Kluyveromyces lactis: one gene and its partners. The protein of the gene in region 2 interacts with the protein of the main gene of each other region in a biochemical or structural test. Links are inferred from orthologs where the notes say so. Each region holds a gene or a part of one and is shown on either strand. Other genes may lie near its edges.

Region 1 (3,143 bases), on a different chromosome or scaffold from region 2:
AGTAATATCTTGATTTTGGATGAAGCAACTGCAGCTGTTGATGTTGAAACGGATCAATTGATCCAAAAGACGATTAGAAACGCATTTAAGGAAAGAACAATCTTAACAATTGCTCACAGGATTAACACAATTATGGACAGTGATAGAATTATAGTGTTGGATAAAGGTAGAGTAACAGAGTTCGACACTCCTCAGAATTTGTTACAGAAGAAGGATTCTATTTTCTATTCGTTATGTCTTGAAGCCGGCTTAACGGAGTGAAACCCCCTCAAGTTGTATTATCATAACAGAGATTTTGTTTATTTAAGTACTTTTGTAATAATTTTGTTAAGCAATTGTTTCCTAGTTGAGATGCCCTATCAGAATTATAAATAATATTCGGTTTATCGTAAGAAACGTGTAAATAGTTACATTTCTGCTGTGATTAAAAGATGCTTTATATAATACGAAATAAAAACAAAAAAAGAATATACTTCTGTCAAGCAGATTTCATTACATTGAACTTATTTGAATTTGGAGACGTATTGGTCTGCTTGATTAGCAAAATTCGTCAATGTTTCGTTTGCTGGATCAGGGCCAATAGAGAAAGAAGGGTTAGAATTGGAATTAGAGTTAGCGCCACTTTCAAGTTGTTGTGGGGTCACTTGAGCCTGGGGAGGAGTAGAGGCGATTGTCTGTTGAGTTTGCTCTTCAGTTTGGTGTTGTTGCTGCTGCTGTTGCTTAGAGGCAGCCTCCGCGGCGGCGACAGTGGCAGCGGCTACTTGGTCGTCGAAAGTAGCATTTGTATTGATTTGTGGGTCACCGATTTGATGGAAATCCAAGATCTCGGAATACATCATTACACGCCAGGTGTCAACAGGTAAGTCAGCATCGTTGAAATTCCAATCAAACTTAGCTTCTGCGATAGGTTCGTCGGTTGGGTCATGATATGGGGAAAGGTAAGGATGGGCCAAGGCATCAGCTGCTGTAATTCTCTTCTTTGGATCGAACACAAGCATTTTTTCTAGAAGATCTATAGCATCTGGTTCCAAGTTCTGGAACCTCGAACTGAATGGTACAGGATCTCTATGAGGTAATGAAGTAACAAATTTGAGAGTGTTCTCTGAGCAAATAGTGTCTATGACATCTTTTGGAGGCGATCCTAATAGATCAGTGATGATAGAAAATTGATGCACGTGATCTTTACCTGGGAACAAAGGCTTACCCTCGATCATTTCGGCAAAGATACAACCAGCAGACCAGATGTCTACTTCAACATTATATTTTTGCCAGGTCAACATGATTTCTGGGGCTCTATAGTAACGGGTTGACACGTAACCAGTCATTTGAGGATCTTGAATCCTAGCAAGTCCGAAATCGCAGATCTTTAAATCACAGTTCTCATTGATCAAGATATTGGAAGGTTTCAAATCTCTATGGATCACACCTGCGGAATGAACGTATTTAAGCCCCCTCAAGATCTGGTATAAGAAATATTGAACGAATTGTTTTTCCAAAGGCCTTGTCTGCAACAATCTATGTAGATCCGTCCCTTGCAATTCAGTGACGAAATAAATATCTTCTAATGGTGACAAGAAGATATCTTCGAGACAAATCAAATTCTCATGCCTTAGATGCTTTAACAATTTGAGTTCCCTATACGTTCTTTTTGCCAGTACGGAAGTAGAAAACGGTTTCATAATCTTCTTAATCGCTACAGGCTGGCTTGTTAGCGTATCTGTAGCAGAACAAACCAACCCGAAGGCACCCATACCAACCGGGTTCAAATTAGTATACCGATTGGTAATTTCGAAAACTGTACCAAAAATTTGAGTCCTAATAAATTCCTCATTCGACATTTTATTTCAATTGGAAAAACGTGTCCAGCTTCGATATCCTCGAGTTTTTGGTTCAACGAAGGATACGTATATGAATCTAATTCTTTGGGAGATCGCTCGAACTGGCAGATAACTTAAGCAACGTTATAGCAATTGTTGTCGAAGGGTCTCCTAGTTTTGTTTCTATCAAGTTTTCTTTAATTTTCAATTTTTTAAATTTAACGACTTGAATATGAAATTCAACGGTTCTAATTCACTAAAAAAAAAAGGAAGGGCCTGGCAAAAAACGATGTCCATTCACCGATAATGGAGGGGAAAGTGTCACAGTGGGAATTATATAAAACACTGTTTCGAAGATTTTATCACCGTTTGGTTCTGTGATTAACCCTGAAATACTGCCTGTGTACTTGTTTCCTATTTAAGACGTAACAACAGCTCTGACAGATAGGATCGACGTCGGCTTGATAGATTGGGTTATTATATGTGTATGCATGTATGTATGTAGAGTAAGATTTGCGAACAGGAGGGGCAGTGGCGGATTATGATACATGACATCCGGGTAATACTTCTACTGATATCACGTGATAAACCAAGTAAGAAACCCTTGAGAAGACCACCCAATTATTGCACACCTGTGAATACCGTGACGTTACATATTAATACTGGTGACCATAAACGTTAAAGGTACTTCTTGATCAATAATTATACATTTCCTCATTTAAAGTTTCTTTGTAAGTCGAAATGACAGTTTTTGGACAGACATCAATTTGAATAAAGTATGGTTTGAAACCGCCTACTTACATACAACGTGATCTGATAAGAAAACTTACGAGACAGGGTAATAGATGCATAGAAACGGATTAGTAACTTGATGTTACCCGGGAAATCACACCTCTTGGTTTTCTAGGCATGGAATAGAAAAAATGGACGAACCGTGAGATGATTTGCAGTAGGTAAAACCCACCGGCCGCGCCCTTGACGCTCTGTCGTAGTTTGTAACCTACTATCGGCGTTTCCAGGGTCTATTTACAAATCAAGCCATGACATCCTTCTCTACTGGTGACTGATCTGACTTACACTCAACATGAGTCGAACCCGCGACTCTGGAATACGACGATATACTTGAGATTTGTGATTAGCGCCTTTAAAGCCCTATCATGGAACCCTTGAAACGCGATCGCACAGGGTAAACAAAGCACACCATCTTGCAGAAGCAAGCAGACAAAGGGGAACGAATCTGATTAAAGAGTGAAATGCCCAAAGTCTAGAACCTTTTTACAGGGTACCAAATATAGAAGATTACGCAAAACTATAAAACCAAAACAA
Region 2 (4,391 bases):
GAACTTCAAGAGGCATTGAACACTGAATTTAACTTCTGATATAATGATTATACAAATGTAATTTTAAGAGATTTTATAATGAAATTGACATATTAGTTGGATGGGTCAGGTGAAACTATCGGAATTGGAGTCAAACAAGCTAGATGTTGGTTTGCGTACCAACGGTGTGGATTTTCGGCCTTGGGGTGCCTTCAATTTTCTCTTTTTACCCAAGAAAGTGATGGCAGATCGAGAACCAGAGGCTACTCTATAAGATTTAGATATAGTAACAGTTTTGATCCCCGTTTTGAACTTGTCATTAACATCTGAGTTTGACGAAAAAGACTTTACGATGCTGGGCAATTTGAAGTCCAGAGATGTACCATCCACATCATCAAAGAAGGCGGAGTTTCTATTCCTTTGAGGGGAATCGAGAGATTTAATATTGCTTCGCTGTTTCAAAGATTCCAAATCCTCAGTTGCATCATGTGCTGCTTCAGTGACCTCAAATTCATTGATATCATCATCTTTTGCACTTAAAAACGATAATGAACTCTGAACAAACTCTTCTGATATGACAATTTTCTTCTTTCCCATCTCATCTCGAGTATTGCTGAATGATGTGACAGCAGGGATTGACTTTCTAGTTATATCTTCCACCATACTATCGAAAAAGGCTTTTGATTTTGAGTTATTGACTACACCGTCCACATTTTCTAGTAGCTTTTGTTTCATTATTTCTCTTCTTTTTTCCCTAAACTGTCGTAGTAACTCATCCTCATCATCGCTTAACTCAAGATCTAGTGCTCCTCGGCCACGTTTACGAAAGCCTCCGGTATTGATATCATGTAAGATTTTATTTATCATCCTTTCGTCCATTTCTTTGTTCTCTAAGGCTAACCTTTCTCTTATTGAAGCGGTATCAAACTTGCTTTTGGAAAAATCATCTATCATGGTATCCAAATCTGAGTCATAGTCATCTGAATTCTCTCCGTCAGCACCACCAACACCATGCCATTCATCCTCAGATTCTTCTGCTTCCATTTCCAATATTTTGTTGAGACCAGTTGATTTAAGTACTTGCTTCCGCTTTTTTGCTGCCTCTATTTCCATTCTTCGGCGCATTTTAGCCCTTTCTTGAAGCCTATTCCTTTCTACTTCGTCGAGCTCGTCCTCTGAGGAATCAGAGTCTACTGAGGAATCGGAACTTAACTCTCCCACCAATAATTTCGCTGAATGTGATCTGTTCATCTTCAGTTCTGAATTTGAAGGCACATTTCTGTCACTTTGATCAGCACCATCATTTTCCGTTACATTTGAGGAAGTTAAATTATCGCCATAATGCCCTAAATTGATGCCAATCGGCTCCTGGGTGACTTCATTATCATCACTTGACGAAGAACTCTCGTCATCATCTATTATAGGATTGTTGTTTTTATGGGCTGCCGATGTATCCGCGCTATCTTCGTCTGAACCAGTGGACCCGTGTAGCCCTAAATGCTGCTCGACATCACTATCTGATAAGCTTAAATCACTCTCCATCACATCGCTATCAGGGACATCGGATGCGCTACCAGAAGATGCAGCTTTACTCGTATCTTTTGATTTCTCTCTTTCTCTTTTTTCTCTTAGTTTAACTCTCCTATTCCTTTCAAGCTCTTGCTCTAGAAGCTTTTCAACTTGAATCTTTTCATCTTCAATCGCTTCAAGTGATATTCCTTTTTTACCGGATATTTCTCTTCTAAATTCAAGTATCTGGTCTCTGTTCTTTGTTTTCAAAGATGTAAACAATTCCTTCAAAGAGTCAACTGTAGAAACATGCATGTTCTTTGCTTTAGTAGCCTTATTCCTGGATCTCTTAGCTTTAATCAGCAATAATGCTGCCTTGGACGATTGTGATTTATAGTCATCTTCAGATTCGGACGAAGAGTTCAGTTCAATAACATTTTGTGGACTATTTTTCATAGTAATGGCAATAATCCCATTCATATTAGTAACAACACTCTTCTGTTTCGTGACTAACTCTTGAGTAGATGCCATATCTTTCAATTCATCAGCATCATTTTCCTCATCTGAAAGATCTTCTGCGTTGGATGACTCCGAATCATCAAAAGCTGCAATGAACTGTTCAGGGAGGTATTTCTTTCGGACAGCCTTTAATGGTGCTACAGGTAAATGTGGTTCTTCTATAGTATCTTTTATAAGAGGCACGGCTTTCTCCTTTTCAGCAACATCAAGTTGAGTAGCGACCACTTTTTGCTCATTCTCTATTTGAGTTCCATTTGGTTTAGTTGCCAGTAGTCCTTCATTGTTGTTTGTTGTCAACTTAAATGTAAACGAAGTATTTCGAAAGGAAGTTTCTTTACTGTGCAGCAATTTACTTTCGGTTGCAGCTTTATCAAGAGTGTGTTCATCTGGTGTAGTCTGTGTAATTTCCTCATTGTTCAATTGTGTGTCTAAATCTTGCTGTTGTCTATCAATGGTTCTGTTGGTGCCCTCCAGTGCCTGAGTATTTACTTGAGTCTTTGCCAGCCAAGATGAAGAGAATGTAGGAATTAATTGTGTCTGAGATATTGGATGTTTTTTCTGTTGGATTTCCACTTCACGCTGCTTTGGTACTGCAGCAGTTTCACGCATTGCCTCAAACTCATCGTCCAACTCTTTACCTTCATACAAATCGGTATCACTGTAGAAGAATGTGCTTTTTTTACTGTTATCAATTGCCGAAGCAGTGCTATCATCTGAATCTCCATTTAGTCTCTTTTTGACTCTTTCAAGCAGATTCTCTGCTAGAAACTTGTGCTCTCCCACGTTCAGCTCTTCATCTTCTGCATCGTTCGCTTTAGAATATGTTTTGCCTTTCTTTTTATGAATGCCAACGTTCAAATCATCTAGTAGGTCCATTCTGCACTTGATAATGTGCCGAAGTGTTTGCAAGGTGTTGAATTCCTTTAATAAAACGGTTATAATAATGCCTTACCTGGTAACATTATCGTGCTTATAAGATTGGGCTGCGAGCCTTAAATATTTACGCGTTTTCTCATTTTTCTTTTCAAAAAACCTTCTTGATCGTACGTACTATATTTTTGTCACACCGCAGGTTTTGACATAAGGAAAAGCAAGAACGTTGCTGGCATGAATGATAGTTAGTGAAAAGCGTATACGTGGTCCATAAATATAATCGTAAAGTGTCTACTGGGACGATTTTTGAACAAAGCAACTGGTTGAAACTTAACTTAAAACTATATTTCTTAATTTGAGTCATGAGAAAAGGATGGAAACGCGATTATATAATAAAATACTTACTAGCGCTTTAATCGGTACGCTGTCTTTTCCTGTCTCCTAAAGAGCTCTTTGTAGATTTTGAAATTGAGCTTTTGTAGTCGGTTTCTTTTGGTGCAATAAAATCCTTGGCTCTCTCGCTTTCCTTTTCAGCGTGTTTAGCGGCTTGTTGTTCCCTGCGCTCATGTAACTTTTTGACTTCCTTCTCCCTCTTGCTCAAGAAATACTCACCGGACTCAATCTCCAAATCAACCTTTCTAGGTAATTGTGCAGGTGGGAATGGTGTGTATATTTTCTTCTCCTTGATCTTCTTTGGTTTCTTTCTTGCAACATTTCTCTTCTTGAACATAGGTAAAAATCTAGACCAGTCTTCCTCGGCTAACTCAGGCTTCTTAGCAAGTTCTCTCTTTATCATGAGTTCTTTGATATGGTAAATAGGATGTACGTTTTTCATACAATCTTCGACGACACGGCGTACTTCCTTTAATCCTTTATATGGTCCCATTACTGAGACAGTATTACCTTGGACAAGAATATAACATTTTGTTAGAAGCTCCAAGGCTTTCAAAGTGTTACCATTAGGACCCACTAGTCTCTGCCTTCTTTTCACGAACCTTTCTTTATTAGAAACAAAGTTACCAATCTTTATAACATCACAGGCAACATCGTCTTCTAGGATTTTCACTGCTTGTGGGAATGGCACAGATCTGGCCAAAAGTTTAATCAAATCACGAGCCTTCAAGATTACTGCTGGATCATACGTTTTTCTTGTAGTCTTTACAGTCATAGAACCTTCAACTAAATTCAATTCGCATGCAATATGATGTGCATCGAGAGACCTCGTAACGTCTTTCCAAACTGATTTCAAGTACGCTTCTCTGTACTTTGGAAATAGAGTCATAAAACTGGATTCTTCAGCAAAAGGAAGGCCAGACTTGTTGTCCTCGGGTTTAAACTCCTCGATATTCCATTTGTCAACCTCGTCCGTATCCCAAGGCTTGTCTTTATTATGAGTAGAGACCATCTTTCAACTCACGACTAAATCAATATCTACCTCTTTTTCCGATACTTGTGAGTTCGCAAAATTGTCTGTTGGCCTTTAGTACGCTTCAAGCTAAACTAGGGTTTTA
Region 3 (4,234 bases), about 150 kb from region 2:
TATTCTTCAGGGTCTTCATACTCTTGATAATGTGACGATAAATAATAACTAGCTGGTTTTCCAATTTCAGATTCAAATGGAAGAGACCTGTGCTTTTGTATAGTTTCAATTACCAACTGGACCTCAGTAGGAGTTTTATTATTAATGAAATAGCAAGCAGGTTGATTAGCTTCCGGAATTGCAAAACCAGCAAGGATTAAAAGCCTTCTGAATTCGGGCTGTTGGTATAAGGCCCTCTTTATCTCAGAATTAGTAGCATTGAATGCAACTTTTTTTACTCTTTCCTCTTCTAGTGAATTGATGCCTTCTGCTACCTTACCCTTCAATCCATCGAAACTTGACTGTAAATTAAGCAACAAAGCTTCAATCAAATCTTCATATCCATCATCGATAAGACTAGAAACCAAGATTCCAACTTGCATATCTAACAAAACTTTTTTAGGAAGAGAGCCTTCATCTGGAATATTGATAAATGTGCTGGGCAATACTATGTCAGGAGTACCTTCAGTCAACTTCATCTTTCCATGTCTCATATAGTATGATATTTGGGAGTCATGGAGCATTGGGAACAATATATTGATGTACAAAGAAGGCATTTTCTTCAGTTTATTTTTGAGCTGCTTAAGGTAGTACTCATTGAATTTTGTGAAATGAGTTCTTAGCTCAGAAGTTGTAGGCAGACCTTGTTGACTTAGAATTTCTCGACATAATATCATGAAGTCAATTCGAAATAGAAATAATTCTTCCTTCGCTTTGACAAACACTCTCTGAAAGAATTTTAGAACCCTTATGAGGTCTTTGTCCTCCAGTTCTTTGTAAGACTGTAGATATCTGATGTAAGTTGATATCGTTGGTTCTGTCAGATATCCGCGAAAAACCTTATCAAAGTTTATGGTCACTTGTTTAAATTGTTCTTCTAATATATCAAAGGCTGATTCATAGTCTAAATCATTATCTTTTGCATACTTTTCAATTGCTGTGTGATTAAGGTTCACCTTACGCTTCCTTTTTGACTCCACAGTCAACGAGCTGTTCTCATCAAATTTATCAATTGTTTTCAAAACCACATGTGTTAAATTAATGCAAGCTTTAACATATTGTGAAGAATGACTGGTTGCAGATTTTGGGAGAGATGCCAATAGCTGCAACATATTTTCGCTCAAAATCTTACTTATCACAGCTTGAACATCTGCCTCCCATGATTGGTCGAGAGATAATAAAAACTCCAAGTATTCCGTGAACAATAGCATACCCGCATGGACCACTGGCCAATTCTTTTGTTCATAACTCTCTCTCAAATATTTTGTAAAGAGAATGTAACACTCATCTAACAATGCGCCTGAGACATAATCCGGTGTAGCATCAATTTCATAAATGCACCGTGATCTCTGGAATTTCACAAACCACGAAATGAATAACATGTATTCAATCTTATGCAATGGTAATTGATCTTGAATTTCACTCGTAAAACTATCTGTGGCATTTTGCAATAACAAATTGAAACTGGAATCAACAAAATCTGCCAAAAACTCTTTTATGCTAGTAATGTTGTCAGAAGACATGTAAATAGAATTACCTTCAGTACTAAAAAAGCTGCTACTGAGTCCTTCAATAACATCGAGTCTCATAGTGATGGTTTTATTCCATTTTTTTCTTGAGTCTAACTCTTGTAATGCCGCATCATCACGCATGTTGACAGAATTACTAGCAATTGTCAATCGCGTATTTTGAGGTGTCTGTATAGACAATAAACCGCCAAATCTAGAATGACGAGAAGAAGTATTCTTTATTACATTAAGCTTCTTTTCATGTTCCTTTGCAAGTAATTCTGAAAGGTGTTTACCTGACGTTGTCATGTTGGAGTCTGTAATCTCGTGATCCGTACCCAATTTATAAGATTTTCTCTGGTTTTTGAACAATCGGATGGGGTTAATATCTTTTGTTAAGAAGAACATGACCTCTAACAACGGCCAACTAACGAAATTTGGGTCAACAGCGTCTGACAAAGAACTAGCCACTGTTAGAAGAAAGCCAAAAACTTTATTTTTATCAAATGCGGTTATGACACTATTTATGGAAATATCATCAACGGTAATATTCGTTGGTAACATTTCAGCCATAGTCAAAGGTCTCTTCAATCTTTTGACACTGGATATTGTAACTTCACCTGGTTCTATTGCCACCACATTTTTTAGAAAATTAAGAACCATTCGTATCAGAGAGTCATCCCTAGCAGTCCTATGATCTACATCCACACTCATGACGTTCAGGGCTAATCTAATTGCTGCCTTGAGAACCTTTCCGTTTTCTGTTGTCAAAATTGCATGCTTATACAGCAATTGATGCTTTTTCAGCTCAAAGTAATAATTCACTTGGTTATACGATGACTGATCTGTTATGATTAAGGGCCATGTCATCAACACCATAAGTTGCAACGCTCCTAGAGCGATTCTATCATGATATGATTTATTCGGGAAGAAAATCGAGATATCTTCACCTGTTTTTTTACTTTTCCTAGTAGCAGCACTATTTTTTGCCTCCCAATCCAATAGAATAGGTATTAGATCATTCTGCAGGATCTTGAATTCAGCTGTGGCCATTTCTACATCCCATCTCTTCTGGTTATCATCAACTAACTTGAACCAACGAATCAAATCCTTAATACAAGCCAAGCAATCATCACCTACCTTATAAGGTGGATTAACGGAGTCCACAGAGTGATCTGGTCCTCCAATTGCCGTGGCTAACATACCAATTCTTGCCTTAATGATTGTGTATGAAATATCCTGGTATTCATTCTGAATATGTATGTTTTGCCTATCTTCTGCCAGTCTCTCCTTCACAGTATCAACGTCATCGGGTTCTGACATAGTTACCTTCTGTCAAAGCTACGAACCCAAAGAAGTTTTCTAATAGTTTTCTCAACTAATACTAGTTATGTTCGTTGTCAAATTGGTCAAATTGGAAAGAATTTGCCCTCTTGATTAAGGTAGCCCTTCGAATATTCATCCTTTTGTTCAAACGCGTAAAACTGTTGAAAGCTGTTTTATGATCAAAATCTCATTCGATTGGAATTGATTCCTATGAAAAGTAAGACAAAACCAGATCACGTGATTTTGAAAATTGTAATTCTTCGCCCCCCCTATCAATACACGGTACAAGCACTGTTTTATTGCCTCACTATCAGCAATTGATAAGTTTCAATTTTAAATATTAGTTCCGTAACATTTTAGTTAGATTACTGTTCTCCCAACGACGAAACAGAGACGAAAGTCCAAATATCATGCGGGAAAGTAACTCACTGTTCTTGCTTTCAAGCTGAGCTTTCATACCAAACTAAAGGAATAGTAGCAGTCACCATATAATTTCAAGTAGATTGATACCAAACACAAGCCATATATTAAAATATTTGATCAAATTGTATTATACCTGCTCCTATGGCTACTTTGTTCTCCTTTGTGTCAATCTAGAAATAATCTTGCATATTTTTTTTTCGATCTTCATGACCGTATTAGGAACGGTCGTAAATAAAGCGTACAAAAAGCAAAAAATAAGGGTTCTGATTGCACTCGGCTTATGTGACGACATTCTCCGTTAATGAAGAGCAGACATAAGTGGAAAAGCTTTTGAAATTCCTCAAAAAAGACAAAAACACTGCAATAGTGTGTTAAAGATGGTTGGTCCGGTTTGCGATGTCTCATTTGTCAATGAAGATCAATAAGCATTAATCTGTGGTTTTTCCATTTTTTTAACTCATCGATCTGAAATTTGATTTTGAGGTTTTAACTTTCAAATGTAGAGAACATGAATGAGGGAGGTGAATATGTCTACTGAGTGCTGGGGGATTATACATACCGGGTATGTGATCTTGTGTCGTGGTATAGGATCATTGCGGGGAGATACATTGTTCCAATTTCTGAGGCAAAAAATATATTTGAAATATGCTCTCAATTATTAACTACGGAAGTAGAATAGAACCTATGCCATGCCTTTGCTGCCTTTGATAAACGTAAGATTTATGTTGCACTGCGCACAAGTTATTTAAAATGATTTACGGCAGCAAGTAGACAAGAGTATGACAAAGAACAGTCGATTAAGAATGTGAAGAAAGAAAAAAAATGGAACGTTCAAAACAGGACCAATGCTAGATGGTTTTGTTACAAGGAAAATTTCAGGATTATAATGCTATCTGAGGAAGAATTGTGTGATTGGTGTTTGCTTTGTTCCTTCAGAC

The links.
Region 1: of the proteins of MRC1 (region 2) and HOG1, one has a biochemical effect on the other in vitro, tested with the Saccharomyces cerevisiae proteins (2 studies listed by BioGRID). The link is inferred for Kluyveromyces lactis from reciprocal best matches to the Saccharomyces cerevisiae genes MRC1 and HOG1.
Region 3: the proteins of MRC1 (region 2) and TOF1 form a complex in vitro, tested with the Saccharomyces cerevisiae proteins (2 studies listed by BioGRID). The link is inferred for Kluyveromyces lactis from reciprocal best matches to the Saccharomyces cerevisiae genes MRC1 and TOF1.

Annotation. Positions count from the first base shown.
Region 1 is NC_006042.1:1,865,904-1,869,046, reverse strand, and holds HOG1 (mitogen-activated protein kinase HOG1), read right to left. Parts: upstream 1,839-3,143; coding exon 504-1,838; downstream 1-503. Other genes in the region: ATP-binding cassette glutathione S-conjugate transporter YCF1, read left to right, coding at 1-261. UniProt on the Saccharomyces cerevisiae protein: Proline-directed serine/threonine-protein kinase involved in a signal transduction pathway that is activated by changes in the osmolarity of the extracellular environment.
Region 2 is NC_006039.1:35,292-39,682, forward strand, and holds MRC1 (chromatin-modulating protein MRC1), read right to left. Parts: upstream 2,884-4,391; coding exon 106-2,883; downstream 1-105. Other genes in the region: VAC17 (Vac17p), read left to right, coding at 1-39; ribosome biosynthesis protein KRR1, read right to left, coding at 3,293-4,285. UniProt on the Saccharomyces cerevisiae protein: Required for normal DNA replication. Phosphorylated in response to DNA replication stress. Phosphorylation allows it to mediate the activation of RAD53.
Region 3 is NC_006039.1:187,719-191,952, reverse strand, and holds the start of TOF1 (Tof1p), read right to left. Parts: upstream 2,871-4,234; coding exon 1-2,870. UniProt on the Saccharomyces cerevisiae protein: Forms a fork protection complex (FPC) with CSM3 and which is required for chromosome segregation during meiosis and DNA damage repair. FPC coordinates leading and lagging strand synthesis and moves with the replication fork.